Coturnix japonica: one gene and its partners. The protein of the gene in region 2 interacts with the protein of the main gene of each other region in a pairwise test. Links are inferred from orthologs where the notes say so. Each region holds a gene or a part of one and is shown on either strand. Other genes may lie near its edges. The genes, in order: SOX5, LMO1, CBY2 and PTPN3.

What was found.
Region 1: the proteins of LMO1 (region 2) and SOX5 interact in binary tests that used the Homo sapiens proteins (3 or more experiments, as listed by UniProt). The two-hybrid records come from large-scale screens. The link is inferred for Coturnix japonica from reciprocal best matches to the Homo sapiens genes LMO1 and SOX5.
Region 3: the proteins of LMO1 (region 2) and CBY2 interact in binary tests that used the Homo sapiens proteins (3 or more experiments, as listed by UniProt). The two-hybrid records come from large-scale screens. The link is inferred for Coturnix japonica from reciprocal best matches to the Homo sapiens genes LMO1 and CBY2.
Region 4: the proteins of LMO1 (region 2) and PTPN3 interact in binary tests that used the Homo sapiens proteins (3 or more experiments, as listed by UniProt). The two-hybrid records come from large-scale screens. The link is inferred for Coturnix japonica from reciprocal best matches to the Homo sapiens genes LMO1 and PTPN3.

The regions. Positions count from the first base shown.
Region 1 is NC_029516.1:60,779,759-60,782,444, reverse strand, and holds the end of SOX5 (transcription factor SOX-5), read right to left. Parts: intron 1,215-2,686; coding exon 911-1,214; 3' UTR 542-910; downstream 1-541.
Region 2 is NC_029520.1:14,278,432-14,282,622, reverse strand, and holds the start of LMO1 (rhombotin-1), read right to left. Parts: upstream 2,841-4,191; 5' UTR 2,432-2,840; coding exon 2,407-2,431; intron 1-2,406. UniProt on the Homo sapiens protein: May be involved in gene regulation within neural lineage cells potentially by direct DNA binding or by binding to other transcription factors.
Region 3 is NC_029516.1:150,251,578-150,255,921, forward strand, and holds CBY2 (spermatid-associated protein), read left to right. Parts: upstream 1-1,511; 5' UTR 1,512-1,611; intron 1,612-3,056; 5' UTR 3,057-3,062; coding exon 3,063-4,040; 3' UTR 4,041-4,139; downstream 4,140-4,344.
Region 4 is NC_029517.1:46,429,477-46,433,075, reverse strand, and holds part of PTPN3 (tyrosine-protein phosphatase non-receptor type 3), read right to left. Parts: intron 3,571-3,599; coding exon 3,394-3,570; intron 1-3,393.

The DNA of each region.
Region 1 (2,686 bases), on a different chromosome or scaffold from region 2:
ATATCAGGTTCTTCAAGGGATTGTCTAAGATACAACACTGTCCTAACTTGAGATAGAGCAGGAAGAGAAAGGAAACCCAAAGAAAAACAAAAACAAAGACCAACAAAAAATAAAATAAAGCAAATTGGACTAGTTCAGCGCTGTAGTACAAATTTGGCACTTGCTCAAAGACTCAGTATGATGTGCAACTGATGAAGAGAAGTTCTCTCTTGAAAGGAAATAATTGCTTGCTGGGGTTAACAGAAACAGGCTCCCCACTTCCTTCCTTGCCAGCCACGCGCACACGCACACACACACACGCTTCAGACCCAAACGTGCCAGGGAGGAGAAGGAGGAGACAGAAGGGGAAAAAGGAATTTTATCTTTTTCTTCTTTCCTGTCAGGTGCATTACCAAAAAAATAAAAATAAAAAAGGAAAAGAAAAAAAAAAAAAGGAAAAAAAAAGAAAAATTATTTCTCTTTAAACTGTAGCACAAAACAACAAAACACATTCACAAGCCACTTGTTGGCACTGTGTACCTGAGTGAGAATTTCTAGAACATTGTAGAACAAACAGCCATAAAGTTTATTTGAAAAAAAAAATAATAATAATAAAAGGTCGACGGGTAAGACTTCAGTGCTCGGGTATAGCAGCTGAATTACTGGCATTATTTTACCCATAGCTTATATTATTCTGTTGTTGTTGTCGTTGTCTTTGTTTCCTTTCTTCTGAGCCTTTTTTCTTCTGATGCAGGCTGATGTCTATTAGTCAGCTGATGTCCCAACTAGTTAAGACTAACAGTTAAAGTAACAGTCAGTGTATGAGAAAGTTAATGTGCTTGGCCACTGGTAAGGATAAACCAGATGGGGCTTTATTTATTTTTTCTTTTCTCCTTGAAGTCCTGCGGGTCACATGGTATTTGGACCCTGATCAGTTGGCTTGCCCCGCAATGTGATTTTCACTGTCACTGCCATAGTCCACATCGGGGTCATCCTCTTCCTCATCATACTCATCGTAGATTTCTCCATTGACGTCATCGGTCTGCATCTCTTCCTTGATATGGGGCTCCTCACCTTTGATGCCGTAAGTGCTCTGGATGACAGGCATCCCGGGCTCGGGGCTGCTGGACACACTTGAGTGCTCTGAGGGCAGGTGTGGGGAAGGCATTCCTGCCATGGCGATGGCTCCTGGGTAAACGACACCTGCGGTGGCAATGGGAATCTGTGCTTGTTGCCTGCAATGGAGAAGAAGGAAGAGGACATTTGAGTACTGCAAGAAGCAGAGAGAGAGCAAGTATGACGGCATTTGGCAAACCCATTAGCATGCGCTCTTGAGCATTCAGAGGGAGCTTATGGATGGCCCACACATGACTACCCTGGTATCAATACTCCAGATTCACCAACTGATGCTCCTGATGTGAACAGTGAGCCCAAACCAACTTCACTGCTAAGGAAATTCAACCTTTGTGAACTTCTTCAGTTACACCTGAACCACACAGCTTCAGCTTATCAGCCTGTGACGCAAATTTCTTTACTGAGCAGCCAGAAAGAAGCAAGCACCCTTTCAGTCATGGACTACCTCACAAAACCATGCATTTTGAAAATCTTCTTAAACAATCACAAGCAGTTGAAAGGATTAGAAATAAAAATTTGCTAACAGGATAAATGAAGCTAAGGCTGGACAGTCTGCAAAGCAAAGGGAAGTAACTTTGGAGGAGAAAGGAAAGGCCTCTCTGATGAGAGAAGTCTACTGCATGGTAACACCTGGACCTGGCCCTTGTTATAGAGAAGGGCAGTGGGCTTTCTGGGGCCCAAGTGGGTAACGGCCTCCCACTGGAAGGTGACAGTTACCAGAGTGAGTAAAACGGGTGAAAAACAGAAACTTTGAAGCAGGGTGGATAAAACTGGGAAAAGCCAGACTTAAAATGGAAGCATGCATTATTTAAAAATAAATAAAAAGCAAGCGAACAACATGAGCATTTGAGCAAATCCTCTATAAGATGCCTTTATATAGCATCTAAGCCTTGGAAACCTGTCTGCAGCAATGAAAGACGAATTATTCCAGGCCATAGAAATTCCCTTTGCATCAAGAACACTAGCTGTGTTATACCAGCGTTTGTTTCCCTGAGAAGCTTCAGGGTCCCAACAAGCCCAGAGGTTTAAAATTCATGCTCCTTTTGTTTCCTTGCTGCATGAAGTAATTCCATTGCAGTAATACTCTTCAGTACATGCTGCACATTGTAATGTCATCAGCGGTGTGTCCATCTGTACTGAAAAGCCTTGCCACAGGAGACAGGGCAGAGTCTCTTGAGATGAACATTCGTAATTAAGAATGAAACCTTTCCCTGTTCCCTTGCCTGGCTGTGCCCTGGCTGTACAGTAAGCCCCGCACAGTACAGTGATCCTGAAAGACTCTCCTCAGCCAAAGAGCTTTACATTTGTTTGGAATTGCTAGCTGTGTTTTCAGTTACTTCCTGCCTGCCATTCAAGCGAGGCCGCTGTCAGTATAATCGTTATTTCCTTGTTGCTGAAACAAGTTTAAGTTGTCTCAGCTGAAGACACAGCTCTTAAAGAAGGGAGCGGATCTAATTTGCATTTTATTCTTAATTCAATAGGAAGGCTTTGTTTTCTGGAGTCAGCATTTCTGTAACAAGATTCAGCACACTTAAATTGCTTTTAATATTTAACAATAGGAATACTTTGCACT
Region 2 (4,191 bases):
ACAGCTGGGATAAGCTGCAGCTTTTTCCTAATTGCTATTATGATGACTGAATTTTTGTTTTGTGTCAAGCATTATTCACACATTATACTCAAAAATTTGATCCCTCCACGACGCATTATTGATTCCATGCAGGCAATCATGCTGCCGCCAATGTGAAGAATTAATTTGGGCTATTCTGCTTGATTTGCATTGCTCCATCATAGCAGAACACAACTCTATGGGGAAACACAAATTGAAAAGGAAGATTTGACAAAATATGGAAAATGCCGCCGTCCTTTTAAAGAGATGAGCCTTAAGAAGAGGAGGGGGAAAAAAGCTGAAAATAACAAAGCCCAGCACAACACGTGTGGTCCAGTAAGAAGTAAGGTCAGCCAGCCAAATTCATCTTAGTCAGAGGAAGGTTACAAGAGTAGCCTTACGCCTCTAATAAAGTAAACTAGCTTGCTTCAACTTGTATTGCCAAAGAAAACAAGCGAACACCTCTGAGAGCAACACTGCTCCAAAGCCTTTGAAACCTGTTAGCTCCATTTGTTTTCCCAGCATAAGCAATGCTCAACCACTTAGCGTGTCTTTTATCCGCAGTCCAGTCAACTGCAAAGCTGATCTAGAAGATGTGAAACAGATGCTTCACATCCACCTCTTTTTTATCAGAGTTCTCCCGCGTTAACAAAGGGAATTATGAGATGGCTTGACTGAAATCTAGACAGGGATTCCATGTGTTTTGACCTGAAGATTATTTCACAGTTTTAGGATGCCAACTTCATTAGAACAGAATCCCTTGAGAAGGGCAAGCAAACTTACATGTGGGTGCTGAGACCCCACATTGAGTCAACATCTGATCAGAATCTCCTTAAAGAGGACACTGACAACGACTCATTTCTGCTTGGTCACAAATGTTGGGCGCATAACCTCCAAGCCCATGCACACTTTGTCCACTGTCCCAAGCACTTCACACCTGAATGAGACAAAAACCCACATTCCGTCCCAGAAACAAGCCTCAAACTGCTACGCGCGTCAGCACACTGCATCATTTTACAGACTAAAGGTGTCAGGAGACGAAGGACCTCAAAATGCTAGATGCAAAGCATAGTGTTTCCCGATAGTATATCTTGGGGTGTCGTGTAGGGAGAAAGAGGAGCATCAGTCCAAGATTGGTTAAAAGCGAGATTACTTCCATTACGGCCAAGTCTTCTTTTCTGATTGTGGTCCAGTACAGCATTAATTTGGCTTTGAAACACCCCAAAATAGATAGGTGTTAGGGAACAGAGAATATATTGCTTCAACCTATCAATGGGGAAGCTTTCGGCACTGCTCACAATGCACAATTACAGGAAAGCAAGAGACTGAATTGCATGTTATTTTCCCCAAATATTTCTAAAGGTAATACATATATTCAAGTAAAATTCACCCTACCGCCATAACATTCCATTTTCTCCAAGTTCTTTGGATCCCCATGAAAAACTGCTTCCTGTCTACAGCCTGCAAGCATTCACTATTTTCTCCTATTTCCAAGTAAACTTGCTGGTTATAGAGAATTCTATATAAATAAAAGCAGAGAACCCAGCAACTGAGCCATCAGCACAGCCCTTCACTCACTTACAAAGGTGAGATGGAGCAAGGAGATGATGGCTGTGGCGGTGTGCTGGGTGTTACAATGCAGCTCCTGCCTTCGCTACGCAACACGCCAAGGCGAGTGGCATTGCCAGCGCAGGAAGTTCATCAGGATGGCCACTGATGGCTTCCACTGCTTCAGTCTTTCTTTGCTGGCAGTGTGCAAGTTAGAAGGGAATTTCCAAACCGCAGCATAGCGGATCCTCATTGAGAAGTTGCGATGGGACTTACTGCGTACATCCCAGGCACAGCTGGTGAGCAGGCAGTTGGGTTTGGTACTACCGAGCACTGCCTGCCAGCATCAGCACCCAGCCCTCAGCCGCCCGCAGCAAGGGCTGCTCTTAACAGAGTGACTGTTTGCTAAGTCCTAAATTAAGTCAGGTCCTACTTCCGTTTCATTCATTCAGTCACCTCCCAGCAAACATCCATTCAGAGTTGGGAAGAAGGCACAGCTTTTCTACTGGAGCAGCTTACGAGCTTATCATCAGCACGGTTAGAGCAATGGAGAAAAGATGCGAGAAATAGATATTAAGGGCGTACATTAAGGAGACCCAAATGACACGCAACGGGAAGGAAACCATCTCAACATCAGGTTTACATTCAGAGCCATTAAAATAAATGAATGTATTAGGGTGAGTTGGAGGAGGAAAAAATCTAAGCAGACAACAATAAAAATAAGAATGAAGCTGCTTCCGCACGCGGTGCTCGGGGTAAACCCTCGGGTCCCGCCGGGAGGAGATGACACGCGTGGGCACGCAGTTCCCGGCCGCGTCCCGGCGCCGCTCGCCCACCTACCGTCGTCCTGCTCCAGCACCATCATCGCGGGGCTGCGCTCGGGCAGCGCGGACCTCCGGAGCGGGGGAGTCCTCGTGCGGCGCGGGGCTCCAATAGCCGCCCGTCCGGCGTTTAACACAGATCTCGCTCCGGCAGAGCGACGCTCGGGGGCAAAGCGCTCTGCGGGTACGACTGCGGGGCTCACCTACTTCTGCGCCGCAGAACTGCGAGGAACTAAAACTGCAATTTAGAAAGAAGGGCGATCGGAGCGGTTCCTCTGGTTCTCACCTCCTCAACGGCTCAATTTACAGCTCATAACCTATTTTCACGCGATCGCTTCTGACGGCCCGTTCCCCCGACCGCCGCAGCGAGCCGGCTCTCGGCTTTATGAAGCGTCTCTCTTCGGTTTCGGGCTGAACCCAGCTCCCGTCACCCCGGCAGGCCGGCCCGCAGCCCCGAGCGCAGCGGGGAAGGCAGGCGCCCGCCCCCGGCGGCGGGATGCGGCGCGGCAGCACCCCCTGCAGGACGCACCGCGCTCCTCGGCCCGGCCCGGCGCCTCCCGGGGAGCGGCCCGCGGGTCTCGGGGCCGCCGCTCCTCTTGGCGGAGCGCAGGGCACGGACTCGCCGGAGAGCGAGCTGAGAAGGTACCCGGCCGGCTGTACCCGGCGGTTGTACCCGTTGCTCGCAACTCTCGCTCCGGAGACTGTAGCTCCACTTTCACTCGGTCGCTACCACGGTGAATGTATCAGCTCGGCCCTTGCGGGTCCGCCCCACCTGTCAGAGACGCCATCGACGACCGAACGCAAAGCAACAAGTGCGGACCCTGCGCCCCGCAGCCCCAGCGCACACAGCAGCCGTCACCCCGACCGCGCTCGCACAACTGCAGGGTCATGATCTCCGCTGCCACCAGCCTCACCGCCTCGGTCAGCTTGTGATACAGAAAGCACTTCATTCCTATTTTAACTTCTTCCCTTCGCAACTCACACAACACACTGCAGGCTCAGGCTGAGTATCCGCAGTACTATTGCTAGTTAGATCCCTTATCCCCAGCTGAGGTGGCATTTTCTTCCCCTTCATTCCAAACGCTTGATCCCAACAACCCAACAAGTATCACGGCCCTAAAAGGAGGACGGTTCACCCAAAGATTAAGGCTAATAGTTGAAAGCACTAGGCACAAGCTAGCAGAAACACGGGTTGTTCTACCTTTGGAGTGTTTTAATACTTCTAATGTTTCTACCGGATCTCTGATGGAGGCTGTGGACTCCAAAAATGTCCCTTCGTTGTCCGCGTACATTTCAATCCCATCGCCTTCAACAAGGACGCACCGGTCCTAAAACACACGGCACATTTACACTCACACTGATGGGTAATGGCAAAAAAAAAAAAGGGGGGGGCTGTTTTCTGATGAAAATGAAGTTAGGCACTGCTTACTGAAGCTGAGTTCTGTGGCGGGTGGAATGCAGATAGCGGTAGGCTGATGTGGCACAGATCCCATACGTGTTCATCCTTTACTGCTTCACAGCATCACAGGAGCTGCATTACTCCCTTCGAAAATGGTTATTTCTAAGTGCTTTCACTGCTTACTCATTTAACACACCAACAATAAAAAAGTTTCCTAACCCCCAACGCATTTGTACTGCAATTAAAGCCAACGACAATTAACACAATCTGTCGGAATTAATCACGACGCCTCATGTCAGTTTACTTTTTTAAGCAGAAATCTGGGCTTTGCAATCAAAACATTTACGTATTTGAGAAGTATCTTAACTCTCATTATCCCGAGCTCCCTGAACGCGGTGCGTAGGC
Region 3 (4,344 bases), on a different chromosome or scaffold from region 2:
AGAGCTGGAGTTACCATCTCTTGACAGGGAAGGGAACGCAGTCAACATTATTTCTGCCTTCACAGCCTTGTGAATGACAGCCTTATCCTTAGGACAATATAGCTCAGAAGTCAGTGCAGTTGCTTTGAAAAGTTCTGCCGTGAACAGCTGTGTCTTTACAATTCTGGTGTGTGTCTCCACATACATGTATGCACATCTGATGATATTCGCTAAATTGGATCCAAATATATTACTGTTTGAAGTTGTAACTTTCAACAAAGAAGTGACTTGCCAGAAGAACTTTATCCAACATTCAGGACAATAAGAAAATGCATAAGAAAAAGTGAAAGTATGCAGCTAACTTAGTTCCTAGGAGTTCTGGACCAAGCAGGCTTTGCCTGCTGATAAATCCACGGTGCCCTTGTCTCTGTTAGCTCAGTTTTCTGTCGGCTCTTAGAACTTAAAACTTTCATTTAAGGTCTGTGCCAGTGGTCCACACACTCAGGTATTCAGAAGTTCAGCTGCCTCCCCTGAGAGCTGTAGCAGCTGGACAGCACCCTGGCACTGCCATCTGACTGAAGGCCAACTACTTCTTAGGGGGATATTTTCCAGTTTCTCTTTGTAGGACCCCAGAACTTGAACAGAGGAGAATGAACCCCGGGGAGTTGTCATGGGAACTTCTGATTTACTTATTTATTGTGTTGTCTGAGATGAAATAGAAACAAGGAAAAAAATACAGAAGAGAATTGTATGCCTAAGTTTATTATCTTTGCAGAACACTGAAGCCAAACTATACCTTTAACTTCCTAAAGCAATAACAGTCACTTTGGGATTGATGTCAAGTTGGTAATTTTCACTGGAATAGACATTAATTGCTGTATTTATTATTCAAAAACCCTGATGACAGGAAAAAAGATGAAGAAATAATCCACATCTAAAAGATTAAGCAAATAAGAGAGAGAATGAGATTATTAGAAACATAAAGACATGGAAGCAGGAATAGCTGCTATAAATAATATCTAAACTTGTAATGCATGAATGCCCTGCATGTTCTGTTTTCTTCTTAATGGGGTTCAGTGATGATCTACTCTTTAACTTATAGTTACAGAAAAACTCATATCCATGTTGTCCTTTAAAAATAACTTCAGCTGTCATAGCGCATACACAGAAGGAAGTGGTTTTTGAACTTATCAGCATTGGTTCAGCCAGAGAATTAATGTGTTAGATTCAGAATAAAAGCAAAATTTCTTTTAGGAGAGCGTGATGGAGGGAGAATCCATCTAAACTGCTCTCAGTTATGTGCATCAGAGAGGGAAGCCTGGGTTCAAGAAAGGACGTGAGAGCTAGGCTACTGGAAAGGTCGTTTCCATGAGAAATGACCCAAATGTGCAATGCTGGGAAAAATAAAACAAAATGGGCTGTGAGGGGGGAGAGGGGGGAGCTCCTGGACTTGTGGAGAAGGGGCTGGCTCTGGGCGTGGTGATCGCATCACAGTGGGTTCCATTGTCCCATCTCATCACCATGCCCCCCCCATACAGAACTTGGAGCAGAACTTCAGGCTAAAAAGCCAAGCGGAGACCTGGCAGCTGTGCAGGGCAGTGAAGAGGGTAGAGTATCATCTCCAACAAGCAGGTGAGTACATGCTGGTATGTAATTTGGTACTGCCAAAACACCTATATATGCTTGATTTCATGCGGTCTCCCCCAACCCTGCTCCTCCAACCCATCTCCCCATCCTGTGGAAGGAATTTTTAGTTTGGGAATATGAATAAGGAAGGTGGGAAAATTTCTCTGAAGCCTGGGTTGACCTCTCCCCTGCAATACACAGGAGCTGATAGAGGTGCTGTCAAGTTTAATTGACCCCAGGACAACATCCTTCAATGCTGTATACATTATATACTGCTGTTTATCCTCAAAACTTGCCATATAAACACTTTAAACATAAGTGGCTTTAAATGCCTGCGCATGAAACACAGTGAAGGGTGGGTCTTGGCTTGTGATGCTGGCTGTTTTCTCATCAGGGTTTAGGGATCAGTTCCCCCTGTGATTCAGCTTCCCATCATGGGGATAATGACAGGGACATCAGCACCCTCTGAGGGAAAAGGACAGGTCTGTGTGAGGCAGGGAGCAACAAATTGCTCGCTGTGCTCTGAACACAATGTAAGGGGGAAAAATAAACGCGGAAATTGGCAAGCAGTTGCAAACAGTGGGAAATCCCTTTTAGCAGAGGAATGACATTATGCAAACACAAGTCTGATGTGAGATATACCAGATGGCAATGCGGAAGGCAGCTCTGAAAGTTAAGCAGAGACCTTATATCAATAAAATCAAGTGTTACGGCAAACAGACCCATATTGCAATTATTCCTTCAAGAAGAGATTTGGGGCTTTGAACAGTAGCAATATGTCTTTGAGCTTTCAAGCAAGTTTGGGAAGGCAAAGAAGGAGGTAGCTGTGGGTGGTGGGTCTCAGAAGTAACTTGGAGGAGCCCAGGGAGGCAGCAGCTGGTGAAGGTTGTGGGGCAAAACAGGACAAAGGGTTCAGTGTCCTGGCAGAGCTGGGCCATGGCTTTGACCCCCTGCCAAGTGCTTGGGACAGATACAGAGGCAAAATGACTGCCCACCAGTCATATGGCAGCACTGGATGCCATATAGGACAGGAGGGTGACTGGAAGGCTTTGGGGCAAGAAGGATAAAAACTGGCAGTCAGCCTACCATTTTTTTTTTATCAGAAAAAAACCCAACAGTTTTATGCTGTGGTAAAAAGAAACAAATACTTTTGTTTTAAAAAGCAGTTCAATCTCAATCTCATTTCATATGACTTTCTGCATTTTATTTATCTTCCATGACTGTAAAACTGATGCAAGGGGATGAAAAGAGAGTCCAGGTTTTTGTATCAAACTTTGTGGTGCCACCAAGGCTTTGCCTTCTCCACTAGTGCCTGTTTTCTCCTGTTCTTGCAGTCCTAATCAAGCTTCATCTCCAGCTTCTGTGTCATCTAGTCCTTGCCAGTGGGCAGTGGCCTCCTGCAGTGGCCTCCTGCAGAAGTCTTTTCACAATCTTTCTCTGTTTGCCAACAGATAACCATGTCTGCTTTTGACCTGACAAACCAGAGCACACGGGGTACAAGGCCCGAGATGGACTGTGTCTTCCCACGGATGAAACTGAGGGATGAGACATTTACATTTATTGATGGTAAATGGGTGAATGAGGTGCACTGCCAGCCAACATTTGCATCCCAGAGGAGACTCCTTAACAAGAAGACAGAGAACGAGTGGAGCATCTGGGAGGAGAACAGAGCCCTCTGGGAGGAAAACCAAGTCCTCCGTATCGAAAACAGGATGCTCTGGGAAGAAAATAAGGCTCTGCAATATCTCCAGACACAGAACAAAGGTGTCCAGCTTGTTTACAGTGACATCATCCAGCAAAGCCTCCAGAAAGATAAGCTGTCCTCGTTCTTCCCAGAGAGGCATTTAGGTTTTCAGGTCAGTCCAAGCAACAAGGCTCTCCAGCTGGTCAGAGAAAGAAGCAGCTTCTTAGAGTTTTTCCATAAGCAGAATAGAACAGTTCCCAGCATTTGGAAAGATCAACCAACCTTCATAGTCCAAGAAGAGAACAAAGGCGCCAGCTCAGTTCAGAAGGTCACTGAATGTACCACAGCTGCGGGAGAAGGTAGCCCTGGCACATCCTCCCAGGAGGAGCATGATGCCAAAGAGGAGAGCACCACGCCAACCCAGAATGACACCAAGATTGCACCAACCGCAGAGGATGATAATGAAATCCTTCAGGCTCTCCATGACTTATACCAGATTCTCCAGGTGTTCCTCAAGGAGAAATGTCTTGCTGATGACAGAGACAGCCTTCACGCTCTCCAAGATGAGAAAAAATTCTTCCAGGAAGAGTACAAGAAATTGAAGCTGCAGCTGAATAACGTGAAAAACACTGTGTCAGACATTACAACTCAACTGGAAATGCTGGAGAAAGAGCTCATCGCCATCACTTTCCCAATATATGAAGAAGAAGGGAAGAACATGGCAAACGAGTTTCAACTTGGAGAGATTTGAAGCCTGGTGCTAAACCTGCTAGTTCTGTTTCCTGGAAAGTGCCTCTCTTTGTTTCCAGGAACTTAATAAAATACAAGCAGAGCATGAACTAAAATTAAAGCTGGAGAGTATTGTGTTATTCTGAAACTTTCTTATATTACCTGGGCAGATTTCAACTTTTGGTAGCGTGGTGCCTGGAAAGCATGCTTTTCAGCCTTTTGGGGGGGATTTTCTGCTAATGGAGAGCCTGCATATTCAAAAAAGAGTTCATTCTTTTCACTCTTAATTTGAGGTACCTTAGGTTGGCCATACTTTTCAAAGAGAT
Region 4 (3,599 bases), on a different chromosome or scaffold from region 2:
AGTCAGTTGCAGCACTGCTTCAATGAAGAAAATTAAGATCTTTCAACAAAAGCAAAATACCTCCAGGGCAAGAATGGGGAAAGCCAACTGTAAGTGAAAAACAGATACCAAGAGTCCCTAATAAATAATACGTTTTATCTCACTACTTGTCTTGAAACAAAACAGTAGTAGCAATATGTGTATACATCCAAAAGGATAAGTTAAGTATATTGTAAAATAGTGCAAAACAGAGTCAGAGGATAGACTAGATTACCTGCTCTGGTGCTGGTGAGGCACAGAAATAATAAAAGTGGTTTAACACTCAAAGCAACCTATTAGAGGTAAGTCTTCAGCGTGTACTCCAGCTGTGTAATTTTTCAGAGGCAGCAGTAGTCAGATAAGACAGACAGCAGCACAGCAAGCAAGAGGAGAAACAACAGGGAAGGATTCTTCACGGAGGCTGGATTACCCTGGACTAAACAAAAGTCTTCTTGAAGTCCTCTTCAGCACCATCTTCAATGACAGGCTTTACATGCAGCTGTGATTTGAGATGGTTGGCTTAGATAAGCAAACCTATGCATTCTTCTATAAATCCAAGATCCCCCAAGATTCCAAACATGACTTAATTGATTAAGTACACAACAAATCTCGTCAGACAAGTTTCATCTATACATTTGTACCAATAAGCAAACAGATGATTCTGAAGGCAATTCTGTCTTGGGGTAGATGTTGCTTTGATGAAAAAAACCTAAGACGTTATTCAGAGTCTGAACTGAAACAAGTAGAAACCATCTCCCATTACCGCAGTCCCTGAAATGCTCATGATAGCCACAGATTAAGGTTAAGGAGCTGTATGATTATAATGAAGATTCAAGGTCCAGTTCAAGCAATAATAAAGGGATTTAAAAGCATCTCCCAGTTGCTTGCTAGTAACTTTCCACAGTTCTTTCAGATTTTTCCTCCCACCAAAGACACTCATCATTTATACTCAGTATTAACTACAACCACTTTCGCCTGAGATTGCAGGCTAGGCAGAAAAACAAAAAAAAAAAAAAGAGTCCTCTAAAGGCAATACAAAAGCTAGGAGAATCTAGTTTGGGCCCCCTTCTATGAGAACAGATTTGCAATTTCAATATTTTTCCAAAGCACGTCTTGATTGTGTCAGTTCAAGTCTACTAAAGAACAGTCTGACAAGAATAGGCAAGTTAGCTTTAAAAGTTTAATCAGTACACTGCAAGCTGTTTGCTAGTTAATAACTAAACTATTCTGAAGTATGGCAGAAGTCCAGGACAAATGTTTGTCCATACATAATACCAAAGATAGGCAAGTTAAATGCTTTTCTTACAAAGCAGATATAGCTGGTAGACCAGATTCTATTTCAATAAAGCATTCAGAGAAAAATATTTGTCTACACCTAAAATTAATTTTACCTTACATCTTCCCACAAAAGAAGCAAGGCAAATAATGACAAATGTAAGAACATAAAGAATAACAAGTGGAATGCAGACTAACTATTGAAAACATCAGTGTAGAGTTTAAACATTCTTTTATTTGTACAGTACCATAATGTTTTACCTCATTTGTTGAAGTATTAATGACCATTTTACTTCTAAAAGTACCACTTTACATCTACCAGTTAATGTAATAAATGATCATTCATTCTATACACGATATTCTCCATCCTAAACATACTGTGAATTTAAATTAAGCACATTTATGTAAGTATTTTTTCAATTACATGCATGAAATCCAATACTATAAATATACCAAAGAGACAAGGAATGCTTTGGGAATAACTCACAGAAAATTAGGTTTATCTGAGGTGTAACCATAATATCTACAGTGAGTGATGTAACTCAGATACAGTAGAACAAATCAGTGCTCAGGAAATAAATAAGCTGTTTTCACATTCAGAACACCCTATTTCCACTGTCCATAAAAAACAGACCTTCCCACTCCACCCTCAGGAGGAATAGGAAAGGTAAAACAGGAAGGAGAAAAATTGCAGAAGAAAAGATAAAAACAAGAATGATGAAGTCAGGACACAATCTACCAGTCACAGTACACAGGGTAACAACTTGTTTTTCTGCCAACAGCTTCTACATTCACCATCTCCTCATATGGTCTACTTCTTATTAATTTTATTTGGTTAACTACTTCTGCAAGGGCATAATTTGTCTGTAAATGTTAAAACACATGAAAGACACAACTTCATATCTGTGGCTACTCAACATCTTGAGGCAACACACATTATTACAGCCATTAGTGACACTACTAGCACAACGGCACATCTGACTTGCAGGAATAGAAAAATACTTTCAATAACCCCAGTGACAAACTCCAAATATGCATACAGCACGTTAAATTTTCATTACCCCCCCTTGCTCAGCCCCTTTTCCCTGCCCCCCTAAAACCTCAATGCTATAATATAGTAAAAAAAACTGTTTTCTTCATATTTTAAGACAACTCTTCGCCTTGGGTTTAAAGCTACTGCAATGAAGCTGAATGCTACCAAAGAGACAGGCAATTCCTATCAATCTGCTTCTCAAAATACATCATGCCTTTGAGTTACAAGGAAGAGGTCACCCAAAGCTATTTTTCTTTTGTAATAATATAAAGAAACCTGCATTTTAATACAAAGTATCCTCCCTAGATGAAAGTTTCAAAGTACTCTGTTTTCTTTGTAAAATTTGACTGATCAGGGACCTGGTACCCTTATTATTTCTGAAGTTAGTATTATGCTAATATGAAGTTACTCATTAAGAAATAACTCTTTAAGTAAGAGGAAAGCCACACAATAAATATAATGTATAAGCAAAGAAATAATTAGTGCACAAAGACAAGAGCTTCAGGTCATGGAAGCAAACATAATAGCCCTGGTTAGACAGTTGGTCCTTAAGGAATAGAGCAAAACACCTGAAGGCAACAAGTACAGACTGCCCAAAGAGTGGCAATCTACAATTCCTCAAAGTAAGAAAAAGATAGATGACCACTAGTATCATCATGTTTCCATGTTTAATCTAACACAGTAATTCTTTCAAACCAGCTGGAACTGATAATGTAGAAAACAAATGAACTCTTTTAAGAGCCCAATGAAGATTCCCCAAGAGAAAAGAAAGGTTATAATAGGTGGGAAAGGGTTGCAAAACTTACTGGGAAAGGGGATATTACAGATAAGAACAGGTTTGCCACCTCTGATTTTATTGAAAATTTTTGTTTAGGGGTTAAGGGTTGGTTTTTAAACTTGTCATTTTGTATCACAGCATTTGCACTTTTAACAATTTGTCAAAATAAATCTTATGCAAACAAAAAACTGTTTGAACTCAATGATGTAAATTATGATGACTGTTTTATACTAAGGCTATTTTGTTTTTAAAGACAAATGAGCAATGAATTGTTTACAGAAGCCCTTACCTCCTCTGTGGACTGTGGTTCTGAGAGAACTCTGAATCGCTGTCTTTGGATGTTGGAGAGCCCTTATACGTATAAAAAACATCTTCGGTCTCGGTAATATAAGAAATCTCATTTGTAAGGTTATCTACAGATGAATGTCGTGCTTTACGAATTTCATGACGTAGTCTAGGACTCCGCCTTAAAAAAGGGAACATGAAGACAATTTA